3 linked regions of the Rattus norvegicus genome follow. The protein of the gene in region 3 purifies or fractionates together with the protein of the main gene of each other region. This does not show direct contact. Links are inferred from orthologs where the notes say so. Each region holds a gene or a part of one and is shown on either strand. Other genes may lie near its edges.

The links. Proteins that work in one complex are often made in the same cells at the same time.
Region 1: the proteins of Nck1 (region 3) and Arhgef7 purify together in Homo sapiens (co-immunoprecipitation; 3 studies listed by BioGRID and IntAct, with this or other methods). This does not show direct contact. The link is inferred for Rattus norvegicus from reciprocal best matches to the Homo sapiens genes NCK1 and ARHGEF7.
Region 2: the proteins of Nck1 (region 3) and Git2 purify together in Homo sapiens (co-immunoprecipitation; 3 studies listed by BioGRID and IntAct, with this or other methods). This does not show direct contact. The link is inferred for Rattus norvegicus from reciprocal best matches to the Homo sapiens genes NCK1 and GIT2.

Annotation. Positions count from the first base shown.
Region 1 is NC_086034.1:84,372,627-84,376,759, reverse strand, and holds the end of Arhgef7 (rho guanine nucleotide exchange factor 7), read left to right. Parts: intron 1-158; coding exon 159-258; intron 259-499; coding exon 500-554; intron 555-1,458; coding exon 1,459-1,581; 3' UTR 1,582-3,633; downstream 3,634-4,133. UniProt on the Homo sapiens protein: Acts as a RAC1 guanine nucleotide exchange factor (GEF) and can induce membrane ruffling. Functions in cell migration, attachment and cell spreading. Promotes targeting of RAC1 to focal adhesions. May function as a positive regulator of apoptosis.
Region 2 is NC_086030.1:47,521,405-47,524,904, forward strand, and holds part of Git2 (ARF GTPase-activating protein GIT2), read left to right. Parts: intron 1-78; coding exon 79-327; intron 328-2,014; coding exon 2,015-2,104; intron 2,105-3,500. UniProt on the Homo sapiens protein: GTPase-activating protein for ADP ribosylation factor family members, including ARF1.
Region 3 is NC_086026.1:109,955,448-109,959,538, reverse strand, and holds the start of Nck1 (cytoplasmic protein NCK1), read left to right. Parts: upstream 1-1,291; 5' UTR 1,292-1,408; intron 1,409-1,451; exon of another isoform or gene 1,452-2,406; intron 2,407-4,091. UniProt on the Homo sapiens protein: Adapter protein which associates with tyrosine-phosphorylated growth factor receptors, such as KDR and PDGFRB, or their cellular substrates. Maintains low levels of EIF2S1 phosphorylation by promoting its dephosphorylation by PP1.

The DNA.
Region 1 (4,133 bases), on a different chromosome or scaffold from region 3:
GTCTTGGTTGGCCACACCCGACAGGCAGACAGCTGGGGGAAAGCGGTCAGAAACTTTACTGTAGTCACTGGTGCTGTGTAAGTGGTGTGTAGTGACATAGGTGCCCTTTCTTGTTCCTCAGTGGCACTCACATGGGACTTCTCTTCTTAATGACCCAGGTTCACGCAAAGAGTCTGCTCCACAAGTGTTGCTTCCAGAAGAAGAGAAAATTATAGTCGAAGAAACCAAAAGCAACGGGCAGACAGTGATAGAGGAAAAGTAAGATGGCTTTCTGTTCCATTATGGCTCCCCCCCCACGCCCCCAGTCCATCCCATGGGTGACGTCTAGGCTTGGGGTTAGCCTGAGGTACCCAGGTGGGCTCCTCTCTGAAGTTACAGATTTAGACAAGGGGACTCAGTAGGCAGAGCTTGGGCTCTCTGCTGCCCGAGGTGGCCCTGGTCCCGGCCAGTCTTTGCCCCTTTGTCTTTTTTCGTGTGCTTACTCACTCTCCTGTTCCAGGAGCCTCGTGGATACCGTGTACGCACTAAAGGATGAAGTCCAAGAGTTACGACAGGTATGCCAACCAGTTTTTACTTTTAATCAGTTGGTTTTAATAGGAGAAAAGGGGAACTGTTTAACACGGAACTCTTTGTGTACTAAACGGAACCACAAAGTCCACTGCCTTTCCGAGCAGTGACGGGCGAGGGCTGCAGAGACGGTACAGCGGGTGAGGTCCAAGCTCAGCTGACATCCACAGGGCAGCTTATCACCCCAATCCTGGGGTATCGACTGCTGCCTTTTGGGTTTGCTGGAGTGATGTAGGATGCTGTCCACTGTGGTACCTAGCCAGCTATGTGTGTGACAGTCTTTTGCCTAACTTTAAGTTGTGCTTTATTCCTTTGTATGTATGACATGGGTGGAGCATGTGGCATAGCACATGTGGAGTTGGTTCTCTTCACTCTATGTGGGTTCTGGAATCAAACTCAGGATGTCAGACTTGCCCTGCAAGCATCTTCACTGCTTGAACCACTGTGTGATGTGTATGTTCAACGCTGGTGGGAGTGCAGGCGCTTTGGAGGGACAGGGCAGCGATGTCCTGAGGGTGGGGTAACTGGACACACTTGGCAGTGCCTGTCTGTCCTTCCCCACGTTTGGGGCAGCGTGCTGTCCTTCCTTCCTGACCTGCTTCATTCAGTTGCTGGGGCTTCTGCTCTGCTTTTGGCTGGATAGGAATTAAAAATGGTAACAGTAACATTGTCCTGACACTGTTACCAGCCCCTTCCTTCTGGCAGGCAGTTTTATCAAGTTGTCTTCATGCGTGTAAGTGGGAGATGGCCGTTACTCTTCAGAGTACATTCACGGTTCAGTTTCGTTGGCCAGCCCGCCCCCCCCAACCTAGCGACCTAAGGATTGAGCTAGGATGAGGGATGCCGTGGGTGCTGAGGTAGTGAGCCTGCTTTCGTCTGCTTGCCTTACAGGATAACAAGAAGATGAAGAAATCCTTAGAGGAGGAACAGAGGGCCCGCAAGGACCTAGAGAAGCTGGTGAGGAAGGTTCTAAAGAACATGAACGACCCTGCTTGGGATGAGACCAATCTATAGGCTGACTTCATTCTCATAGGCTGAAGACCAGCAGCTCCTGGACAAGGCTGGGGCCCTTGGTCCCCAGCACAGTGACATTCAGGACTAAGGAGGTGGTCTTCAAAAGGCAAGCAGCAGTGATGAGCTGTTGCTGAAGTAGCTACATGTGAGTTCTAGACACCGAGGCCTGGGCTGAGTGAGCACCTCGCTGTACACCTCTCCCTGCAGTGACTGACCAGAGTCCTCGGCTTTGGGACTTGAGTTGAATCTATAAATAGCTTACCTGTGTACTCCTTGTAAATACTGAGATCTGAATGAACATGTACCTGAGAGGTGACTAGGCTAACCCTCTTGCTAGGATTTCCTTCTCAGCCTTTCTGGCCACAGGGATCTGAAGTTGTGTTCCTAAAGTGTTGGAAGCAGAGAGGTGAAGGGATGCCCGGGCAGCATCTGACTCGTGTGCAGTGTAGGCTCCTTGGTGCCATCAGGAGCAGGCACTCAGGCACAGTGGATTTGTGTGTCTCTTTTAACTGCAGTATTCCAGTCCCGAGCTACGGCAGTACCCAGGGCACCATGGGTTCTAGGAGGGTGAGACTGGTGCCCGCCTCTGCTGCGCTGTCCTGCCTGGGCCCTGGGTCACAGTGTGGAGTAGTGGGCTAGCCTGGTGTATCTTGGCCCTGTACATAGTTGTGTTATTTATTCCATATTCTTTAGCCGGTGCTGCCGGGCAGGGTTTGGCTGCAGGCCGTTTTCATCCACAACCTCTGCTCTGCCTTTGGCTGCAGCCAGCGTTGTCCAGGCCACTGAGAGCCCTCTTAACCCTGAGCAAGACTAAAGCAATACACACCGCACTGGAGCAGCGCGGAGAGCCTCAGTGCTGTGCCCCCGCCCTCCCTTGCTGCCTCCCCAGGCCCAGATGGGCCCTGGAAGGCTGGTGGCTTCCAAGAGGCCCTGCTTCTGTTGGGCCAGGCTTGCCCTTGATTTGGCAACAGTGACAGTGACCTCAGGAGCTTAGCTGTCCCCTTCCTTTCTCCAAAGAGGTTGTTTTGAAGTCAGAGATACTTCCCCATAGAAAGGTGTTTGTCTTTAAACACTGAGGAGCAGTGTGGCTGGGGCCTCAGCATAGCCTAGGTTGTGACCCAGCTCCTGGCCGCTCGTCCTCCGTGCAGGTTTCTGAGTGGGTGTGTGGAGGCCCTTTGTGCTCTCCTTCCTCCACACTCTGGCTGGGTGCAGCGTCTGTCAGGATCCACCAGAGCCTCCCGCTCCTGTTAGCATTTTACCAGCCCAGTCTGTGCCGGGTGAGAAAAGCTGAGGTGTTCTTTCTCTTTGGTAAGCCCTGCTTCCCAAGCACTCTCCGACCCAAAAGACACTACAGCAGAGGACAGTGTGTTCGCTGTCACAGTGGACCTCACCTCAGGAACAACGCTCCTTGCAACTCCACTGCTGGCGACTGGTGCCTGGGGTTGCTGGACAGCTCCTCCGCCAAGAGCAAGCGAAGACCATCTCTGACGCGGTCCTCACCCCGCCGAGGTGGCTGTGCAGGCCCCAAGGACAGTTTTTACAGACCTGCCTTAATGATTCGCTTGGAGACTTCCATGAGTATCCCTACCCTGGACAGGGTGGTAGCGTTGTGTCAGCACGCCACCCTGTCCTTCTGAGATCCAGTGTCTTCCAGGCTCTCAGGGAGCGAGAATCTGCACCCGGAGCAGTCCTTTTTAAAGCTGGCACACACCCCGTTCTCCTCCTGCATCTCTGCGGTGGAGCTCTGACACCCACAGCACAGGGTGCCTCTCACCAACTCCAACTCCTCCGCGCTCTGTGAGGGATGAGGGGGATTAAGCCATTTCCTGTCCTCTAGTGAAGCACTTTCCGTTCTGAACCATGCTGCTGCGTGCAGCCTCTGAAGCTCCACTCTTCCCTCCCAGTTGTTGCCCACGCTCCCTGTGCACCTCATGCCAACCCCTCCTTCCCTGCGACACTGCAGGAGCCGGTGCTGGCAGACCGCACCGGTGTGACTGCTGCAGTGTGTGTGCTGCCCCCTCCAATTATTAAACTCCTTATTTTCCTATCTCACCAATGTGTTGCTCCATCTTCCTTGAGACGCTCTCCCTGTGTGTGTGTATCTTGGCTTTTTAGGTTTGAAAATCCTCATGTGTTCAATGCAGGAAAATACTGTTGAAATCTTTTTTTTTTTTTTTTTGAAGCTGGGGACAGAACCCAGGGCCTTGCGCTTGCTAGGCAAGCGCTCCACCACTGAGCTAAATCCCTAACCCCTTACTGTTGAAATCTTGTGGGAGTATTTAAGGGTCCATCAAGTTGGAATAACAACTGCAGTTAGGATGTGGGCCATTGCGTGGATTCCGTGTTCTGGAGGAATCTGGTGTCACAAGAATCGCCTTGTGACAAGAGTATTACTGTGTGCCGTTAGGTCAGAGCGCTCTCTGACACTTCCTGGAGGCTGGGCGTGTCCCTGGTGAGCGTGTCTCTTGCTCCAGTCCAGAGGGTTGGGAGACACCCTCAACGTTGGGAAAAGCTGCCAGTCAGAACTGCAAAGCTAGGAGCTGCAGGCACGG
Region 2 (3,500 bases), on a different chromosome or scaffold from region 3:
TTATGTTGGAATATTTGACGTTTGCTTTGTCTGCCTGCTGTGCAAAAACAGAGACCCACTGCCAAACATTTCTTTCAGCTTCAAACTCTACAGAGTGAGAACTCAAGCCTCAGGAGACAGGCCACAGCCAGTGCCTGTCAGGTCCAGACTGCCTCTGACCACAAAGACACTGTGAGCCACTCCTCCCTGAAGCGCCGGCCATCAGCCCGGGGCAGTAGACCCATGTCCATGTATGAGACTGGATCAGGCCAGAAACCATACCTCCCAATGGGAGAAGCCAACCACCCTGAAGAAAGCCGGACAAGACTTCAGCCCTTCCCCACTCATGTAAGTAGCACCAGTGTATGTCCATTCTGCTGTGCAGTGTGACTGTTCTCCCTCTTCTGCCCCTGCAGATCTCTGGGCGCTGAGAGGGCCCCTGTGTGTGCTGAACGGATGTCTGCAGGTGCATCTGGTCACACAGGGCTTGAGACAACCTCTGTTGGCATTTTTTCTGTAATGCTTCCTTCCTAGGTTCTACAAACGAAAGCCAATTGTAAAGGTTACTAACAGAAATGTCTGTCTTCATAAAGGCAGAGGTTGGGGCTGGAGACGTGGCTCGGGGCTTAAGCACACTGGCTGCTCTTGCTGAGGACTTGGGTTAAGGTCCCAGCACCCACGAGGCACACAGCCCACTCCCAACCAGCTGTGACTCCAGCTTTAGGGGATTTGACATTTCCTCTGGCCTCCAGGGCTCTGCATGTACATGGCACACATACAAGCAGGCAGAACATCATCCATAAAATAATCTTTTGAAAAACAACCAGGTAGGCAGAGACATGCCCCCTGTATGAACTGGAACTCTTGGGCCCCAGGGTGCTCTTTTGGGCCTGTGACTGGATACATGGAGCTGAGACAGTCTTGGCTTCGGCATCCTGGTTACGGACCTCAGCATAGGCTAGTAGTATGGCTTGGTTATCTCCTAAAGATGCAGGGTAAGCAAGCATTAAACCAGCACACTCAGGAAGCTGAAGCAGGAGGATTGTCTGGACCACATCAGATCTTATCTCCAAAATATCATTAACAAACAAAGAAGGGAATGTGTAAATAACTGATGGTGGACGTCGCTCACAAGCATCATCCGCTCACAAGCCTCGGTTCCTAAGGCTGCTCTGTGGCAGGCTCTCGACGACACCGTGGTGCACATGGGGATGCCAGGTTTTCAAACATTGAACTCCTCTGTCTTCTGGACTGACTTACTGTGAAGATGTCTGTCTCCACAGCGTGCTCCAGGCATAAACTGCCCTTCATAGTTCTTCCTTCAGAGTGTGGTGTCACCCTTTGCAGTGTCAAACTGGTTTCTTGCAAGTACATAGAGCACTTGACTAAGAGTCTAGGGCACTGTGAAGTACATGCTAAGCTCTCAGGAAGTAACCAGTTCTGATTTTGCGAGACTTTAGCATGGTAAAACTGCAGCACTGTGTGCACCCAGGAGTCACAGCCTCTCTTTATTTGGGTTTAACGCTTGAAGACCAACCATTGACCTGGTCTATTGGCCACTGAACTGAGTGAAAAGGAACCTGACTTTTATATAACTGAACGTAAATGAAGGCGACCTCCCTGGCAGCGTAAGCAGTGTATGTGATCCTAGAGAAAGTGCGGCTGTGGTTGTGCTGCCCCGTCTGTCCTGAGGACTGGGGTGATCGTATGCCCCAATTCAGAGTCATCCATAGCACTATGTGGTGTTTCCTTCTCGACGGGAGAGCAAGCGTCATTGCAGGCATTAACAGTGTGTGCTGCCAGTTTGAAGCCATGCCAAGTGTAGCGAGACGGCTGTGGTATCTTTTCCTTAAGGACAAGTGGCCTCCTAAGTGCAAAGTGGTTTCCAGCAGGCTCTTGCCTCATTAGAGATTACTGTGCCAGGGCTGTCACTGAGCTCCTGCGTGTGTGCGTGGGACTGTGTGAGCTGTAGGGTGGGAAGTGGGGACGTGTTTGTTTTATGTTTTCCCAAGCTTGTTTCTTTCTCCACTTCCAGATTGGGAGGAGTGCACTTGTGACCTCCTCTTCGTCTCTGCCTTCCTTCCCCTCCACACTTTCCTGGTCCAGGGACGAAAGCACCCGAAGGGTTAAGTACACTCTGACCGGTTTGCCCTGGAGGAGGGGCAGTGCTCCTTGGTGCTTTGTGCTTGGGAGCTGGCCCTTGTGCCCCGGCCCTTGCTAACAGCCCCCTGTCCTGCATGAAGCAGCGCTTTGCTCCTGGTTTCTCACAGCAGCAGGCACGTGCAGCCATGCACCTCTGACCTGGAGAAAGCTGGCCGGCTTCCACACTGTGCGCCTCCACACTGTGTGCCTCCACACTGTGCGCCTCCACACTGTGTGCCTCCACACTGCCTCTTCTCACCTATTTAACCAGCTCACAGATCATGTAGAGCGCACGTTCTAAGCGCACTGTCTCCTTAAGCAAATGAAACTTTAGCTAGCTACTGGTCACATGTGATAGGGCAGTCCACCCAGTTATTAAATTTAAAGTGTATTTGGGTCAGCACAAAAGTGTCACGGCTTTTTTTTAACTGCTGACTTACTTTATGTTAGCGCCATCATATCAAACAAGTCCCGGCCAGGCTCAGTTGTCCTGGTGTGCTCACAGAACAGAGGGGAGATGGCTACAGGCTTACAGCTCTCCACTTGAAGTAGTAGGCCAGACCCTTCTGCTGGTGTGGGACTCACACTTCAGTGGCCTCCCTGGCACCCACCTTTAAGAAAGGCCGCTAAAGGGTATAAAAGACTTAAGTGACATGGTCCCTGTTCCCAAAGGGACATTGTGTAAAAAGAAAAATGTTTTCATGTGCACAGAGAGCAGGCTGGTTTCCTCCTGTGGAAGACTGGGAGGGCCTGAGAGTCGGAGGCTGACCCTTCATATTCCAACTCAGTCTGTCTGTAGCAAGGGTAAAAAGAAGGAAGGGACCTGCGAGCAAGAGACCACCTTCCCCAGCAAGCCTCCATGTAGCCGCCACCCCTCAGAGTGCTGAGGACCCCTGTCCACTGCTAGGGCCACTGGCTACCCAGGTCTCTTTGCTTGGTACTTACAGTGTTTTGAGTAGCCCTGTAAGAGCACTGTAGCCTTTTGTTACAATGCCAGTTAAAGAACAGCAGGGTAATAAGGGACCCCCCCATTTTGTCAGTAATTATGTTAATGAGAGTCAGGTAGGCCCAGGTGACTCACCATAAAATTTTGTAGTTTCTCTGATTTGTGGCGTTTTGGTAGCTTTGAGAGGGACCAGCCGCTGAAGTGGTTCTGTGCACACTGAGCAGTGACGTCATCCAGGACCATGTGCGCCTGGCAGCGCTGCCCTGGTCAGGTTTCTGTGGTTTGTCTGTGCAGAAAGATGGCATGTTGTTCAGTAACTGACCCCACGCCGGCTACAGGGAACCTGTCTGTTAACAGCTCGAGAGAGCAGCACTTGAGCTCTCCTGGCTCTGCATGCTCACTGTAACTCTCACAGACTTACATGCTGGCTGCA
Region 3 (4,091 bases):
ATCCTCTGCCCAGCTTTACCACCTACTTTTCTTACTCAGGATAAGAAGGCGCTACAGGTAATTTGTATTTTACCTAGGGCAGGCCACCATATCTATTAACATGCAACTAGGTTAAAGGCAGAGAAGTAACTTTTTAGGACTTACCGGTAGGACCTGTATTACAGCGGAAGGAAGGGGTGGAGAGGTGGTTCAGTGACTAAGAGCGCCAGTTTTCCAAGGGACCCCAGTTTCATTCCCAGCACCCACAGGGTAGTTCAAAACCATCTGTAACTTTTTTTCTGCGGATCCTATATCCTCTTTTGGCCTCCAGGGGTAGCAGGCACGCACATGATACACAAGTACACATGTACACCAAACACTCGAACACACAAAAAATAAAAATGAATAAAAGGGGAAAGGAAGATGTATTAATTCCTCGATTATTGACGATGATGTTGTGCTAGGCATGGAGTGAGGGTGGGTGGGTGCTGACACAGTTCCTCTTGTAATAGACTTTGCAATCTAGGTATATGGGTGCAGCTACGCCGGAGGCAAAACCCGTGTTTCAATAAAGTTACCTAACCTAGAGTGCTGCTTTTAGGTGCCACAGCTATACTAAGTAGCAAGGGTGTTCGGAAATAGTGAGGCAGGTTATTGGTGGCTGTAGGGCTAATTGGGAAGGAGAATCGATTTCTTAATGGCTTAGCGGGTGGCTGGGGCTGTGCCACTGCCACGCTCAACCCAAGGGCAAAGGTAACAGTGCTTTTCACAGAACTGGAAGCGGAGAGTGAAGGCTACCCACGCGCCAGGGCACTCGGAAGTTCCTCACACAGCTTATTTTGGTTGTGGTTTTAGTTAACAAACATTTTACATTTTCTCCGAGGCTTGATTTTTCTTTGTCGCTCTCTGTCCCTAAGATCTGTAGGTGGTCGGCCCTTTCAGAAGCAGGAACCAGAGTAGTTTGGGTTGAACTCGGGACCACTGTTCGACATTAATGAGCGATTATAATGACAGGTTTTAGTAGGGCTTGGAGAGGCGGAGAGTAACCAGCTACCGAGGAAGCTGGGGGAGAAAAAGGCAGTGGGGCCCAGCGAACCTCAACTTCTCCTGTCCAAACGCTGCGCAGCCTCAGCTCACTGAACAGTGAGCGCCGCGCTTGAGTGACAAGCCCGTTCGCCCAATCAGGGAGCGGCTCATTCCTCTGACGAATCAGGGGCGGGCGCCGGAGGCGAAGGAGCCTATTAGGTTAGGTGTGGAGCGGGTTTCCTGCCCGCAACGGTCCGCCCACCGGTTGCGCGCGCCCCGCCCCTCTCTGAGAGCTACGCGGCGGCGCAGCACAGGCCTCGTGCGGTAACGGCATCCGGCCAGCCGCGGTGGCGTCCCGGTGCAGTCCTCAGGTGACTGGAGCCGCGGGCTCGGCGGAGGGAAGGTGAGATGGCCTTGCCCGCGTGCGGACACACGCACCGTCCTTTCGGTCTCCTAGTCTGTCCGCGCTGCCTGCTAGTCTCTGGTCGCTTCCTCTTCCCCGGCGAAGTTAGCCCGGGGGCGCCGTCTGCTGGCGGCGGAGCGGAGCGGAGGGGGCGGGGAGGCCGCTCGGCGGAGCTCCGGTGTCCGCGGTGCCGCCCGGTGACCCCGCGCGGCCTCTGGCCTGAGCTACGAGCCCTGCTCGGGGAGCCGAGCAGGCAAGTGTGCGGCGCGCTGTCTCGGCGGTTCTCAGAAAGCCCTGTCGCGGTCTGTGGTGTGTCCGAGGCCGGGACGGTAGGGACGCGGGCTGGCAGGCAGGAAGGGCGCTCTCACCTCCAGCCGCCAACCGGAGGAAGCCGTGAGGGGGGACATCCTCGGGCGCGCCCTCCCCTCCCCCTCCCGTTCCAGAGCAGGAGAGATGGGGTTGTCTGGGGTGGCTGTTGAGGTGGGGTAGGTCCAGGAAAAACAGCCCATTGGGTTGGTTTTCGTACGGGTTTCCGCACTAGTTCGGTTCAGTCTGTTAACAGCTGGGTTGGAAGGAAGCTGGTTTTTTGTTCAGGGTTGAGGACCGTAACATCATCTTAACATTATCGCTTGGTTAATGTCGAGCGGAGCTGAAATCACCCAAAGACAATACTGCCCTTTAGTTAGGTAAGAATCCATAGGAGTTAGGAAAGAACGAGATGAAGAAAACTTCCTGACCCCCATCTTGGGTGGGGAGCAGTGAGATCAGTGTTCAGCCCAAAACGGGTAAAGTTTTGCAAGAAGTGTTCATTTTCAAAAGAGTTACTTTGATAGCTTGATGATCAATCAGCCTTAACGATTTCTTAAGCACCCTGGAAATCAGTTGCAAGCTTTCAGCCTTTAGCGACGTCACCACATGAACAGAGAGTCCAAGAAGACAGTTTGGTTTGATAATTTTCAGTCTTGTTTTTAAGTAGACCTTCTCTCCGCATCGTGATAGTAAGTCAAAGCATATGCATTGGCTGATTAGTACTTTTTTCATCATGCTCACATTGGATGTTTTCTCTGGGAAGAGCTTCTGTAGGAATTGGCTAGAATAACTTAAGCATGCATTGTGTTGATGTCTCAGCTGTATGTATGAACATTAACTTTGAAAAGACTTGCCTCCCTGTCAAGCATTTTTTGTTTTGGTTTTCCAAGCCTTACAGATCCTATGTAAACAAGTTGGCATATCAATGTATTGCTTTTATTAAACACTGAGTGATAGTTTATGCTGCTGACTTTCATAATTTGAGAACTTAGTTTTAGAGTTCAAGGCTTGATGTGATTATTGTTGTAAATAAATTCCTTTTCAGGAAAACTTGGAAAAAAAAAATGAATTCACCTTGGTAGTATTTGGAAGAATGCATGGTTTCAATGCCAGAAAACCAATGATTATTTCACTGTTAAGTAAAATTGAAGGAAACTTAAAATTAGAAATTACTGAACATTTAACAAATCCAACAGTTTGAAGAAAGTTTGACAGGCCCGGATGATTCTCACTTTAATCTGTCTGAGAAATAAAACTTAAAAGTCTTCCCTGGGGCTGCAGAGATGGCTCAGTGGTTAAGAGCACTGACTCCTCTTCCAAAGGTCCTGCGTTCAACTCCCAGCAACCACATGGTGGCTCACAACCATCTGTAATGGGATCCGATGCCCTCTTCTGGTGTGTCTGAAGATAGCAACAGTGTACTTATGTACATAAAATAAATAAATCTTTAAAAAGTCTTCTCTGCAAAACTGATGCATGCGCTGTCTTTCTTTGGTGATACATTCTGTAACATGCTTTCAGTAACCCAGACATAAACCTTTAACAGTGTCCTATTTTTTTGTAGTCGTTTTCTTTAAAAAAAAAAAAACAAAAAACAAAAAAACCTTCCCTTCCTATTCTTATATATTGTTTAAATTTCCGCTTCTGAACTGCTCACTTGCCCTAGCTGGGTTTTCTGCCTGGGTGTTCACAAATGTGTTCTGCCTGTGCTGATCTTAAAATACGACTTTGAACATATTTTTACTGTTTAGACACTAGTAATATCTTTCGTCTAGATTTCAGTCTTTTAAGAGTTTATTTTTATTTTATGCGTTTGAGTGTTTTGCCTACATAGAAGCGCACAGCATGTGGTGTGGGTTCTGGGAACAGAACGGAGATCCTCTGCTAGAGCTCTTAACCACTGAACCATCTGTCCTAGCACAGGAAGAAAGTTGTCTGCAGATTACTAAAGTAGCAAAGTAAAAGTCTCCCTTCCATAATCTCCTTCCTCCCTTCCTCACCCCTCTCTTCTCTTTCCCCTTCCTGACTCTTTCCTTCCCTCAGTTTTGGGGTCAGATCCATGGCTTCTCATAAACCACTGAGTTATATCATCAGTCTAAAGTTCTATTTTTTAAAAAAGATTATTACATTTTTGTTTGTGTGTGTGTGTGTATGTGGGGGGTGGGTGGACAGGCAATGTGCTTATGGCAGAGTCAGAGGACAGCTTGAGGGAGTCAGTTGTCTGTCCACCACATAGGTCCCTTGACTTGAACTCAGGTTTGTAGGCTTGGCAGCAGGTACCTTTACCTGCAGAGGCATCCGACACCCAACCAGAGTTATAGTTTTTACAAATAGTTAAACATTTTAAAAAGTGTGTGTGTGTGTGTGTGTGTGT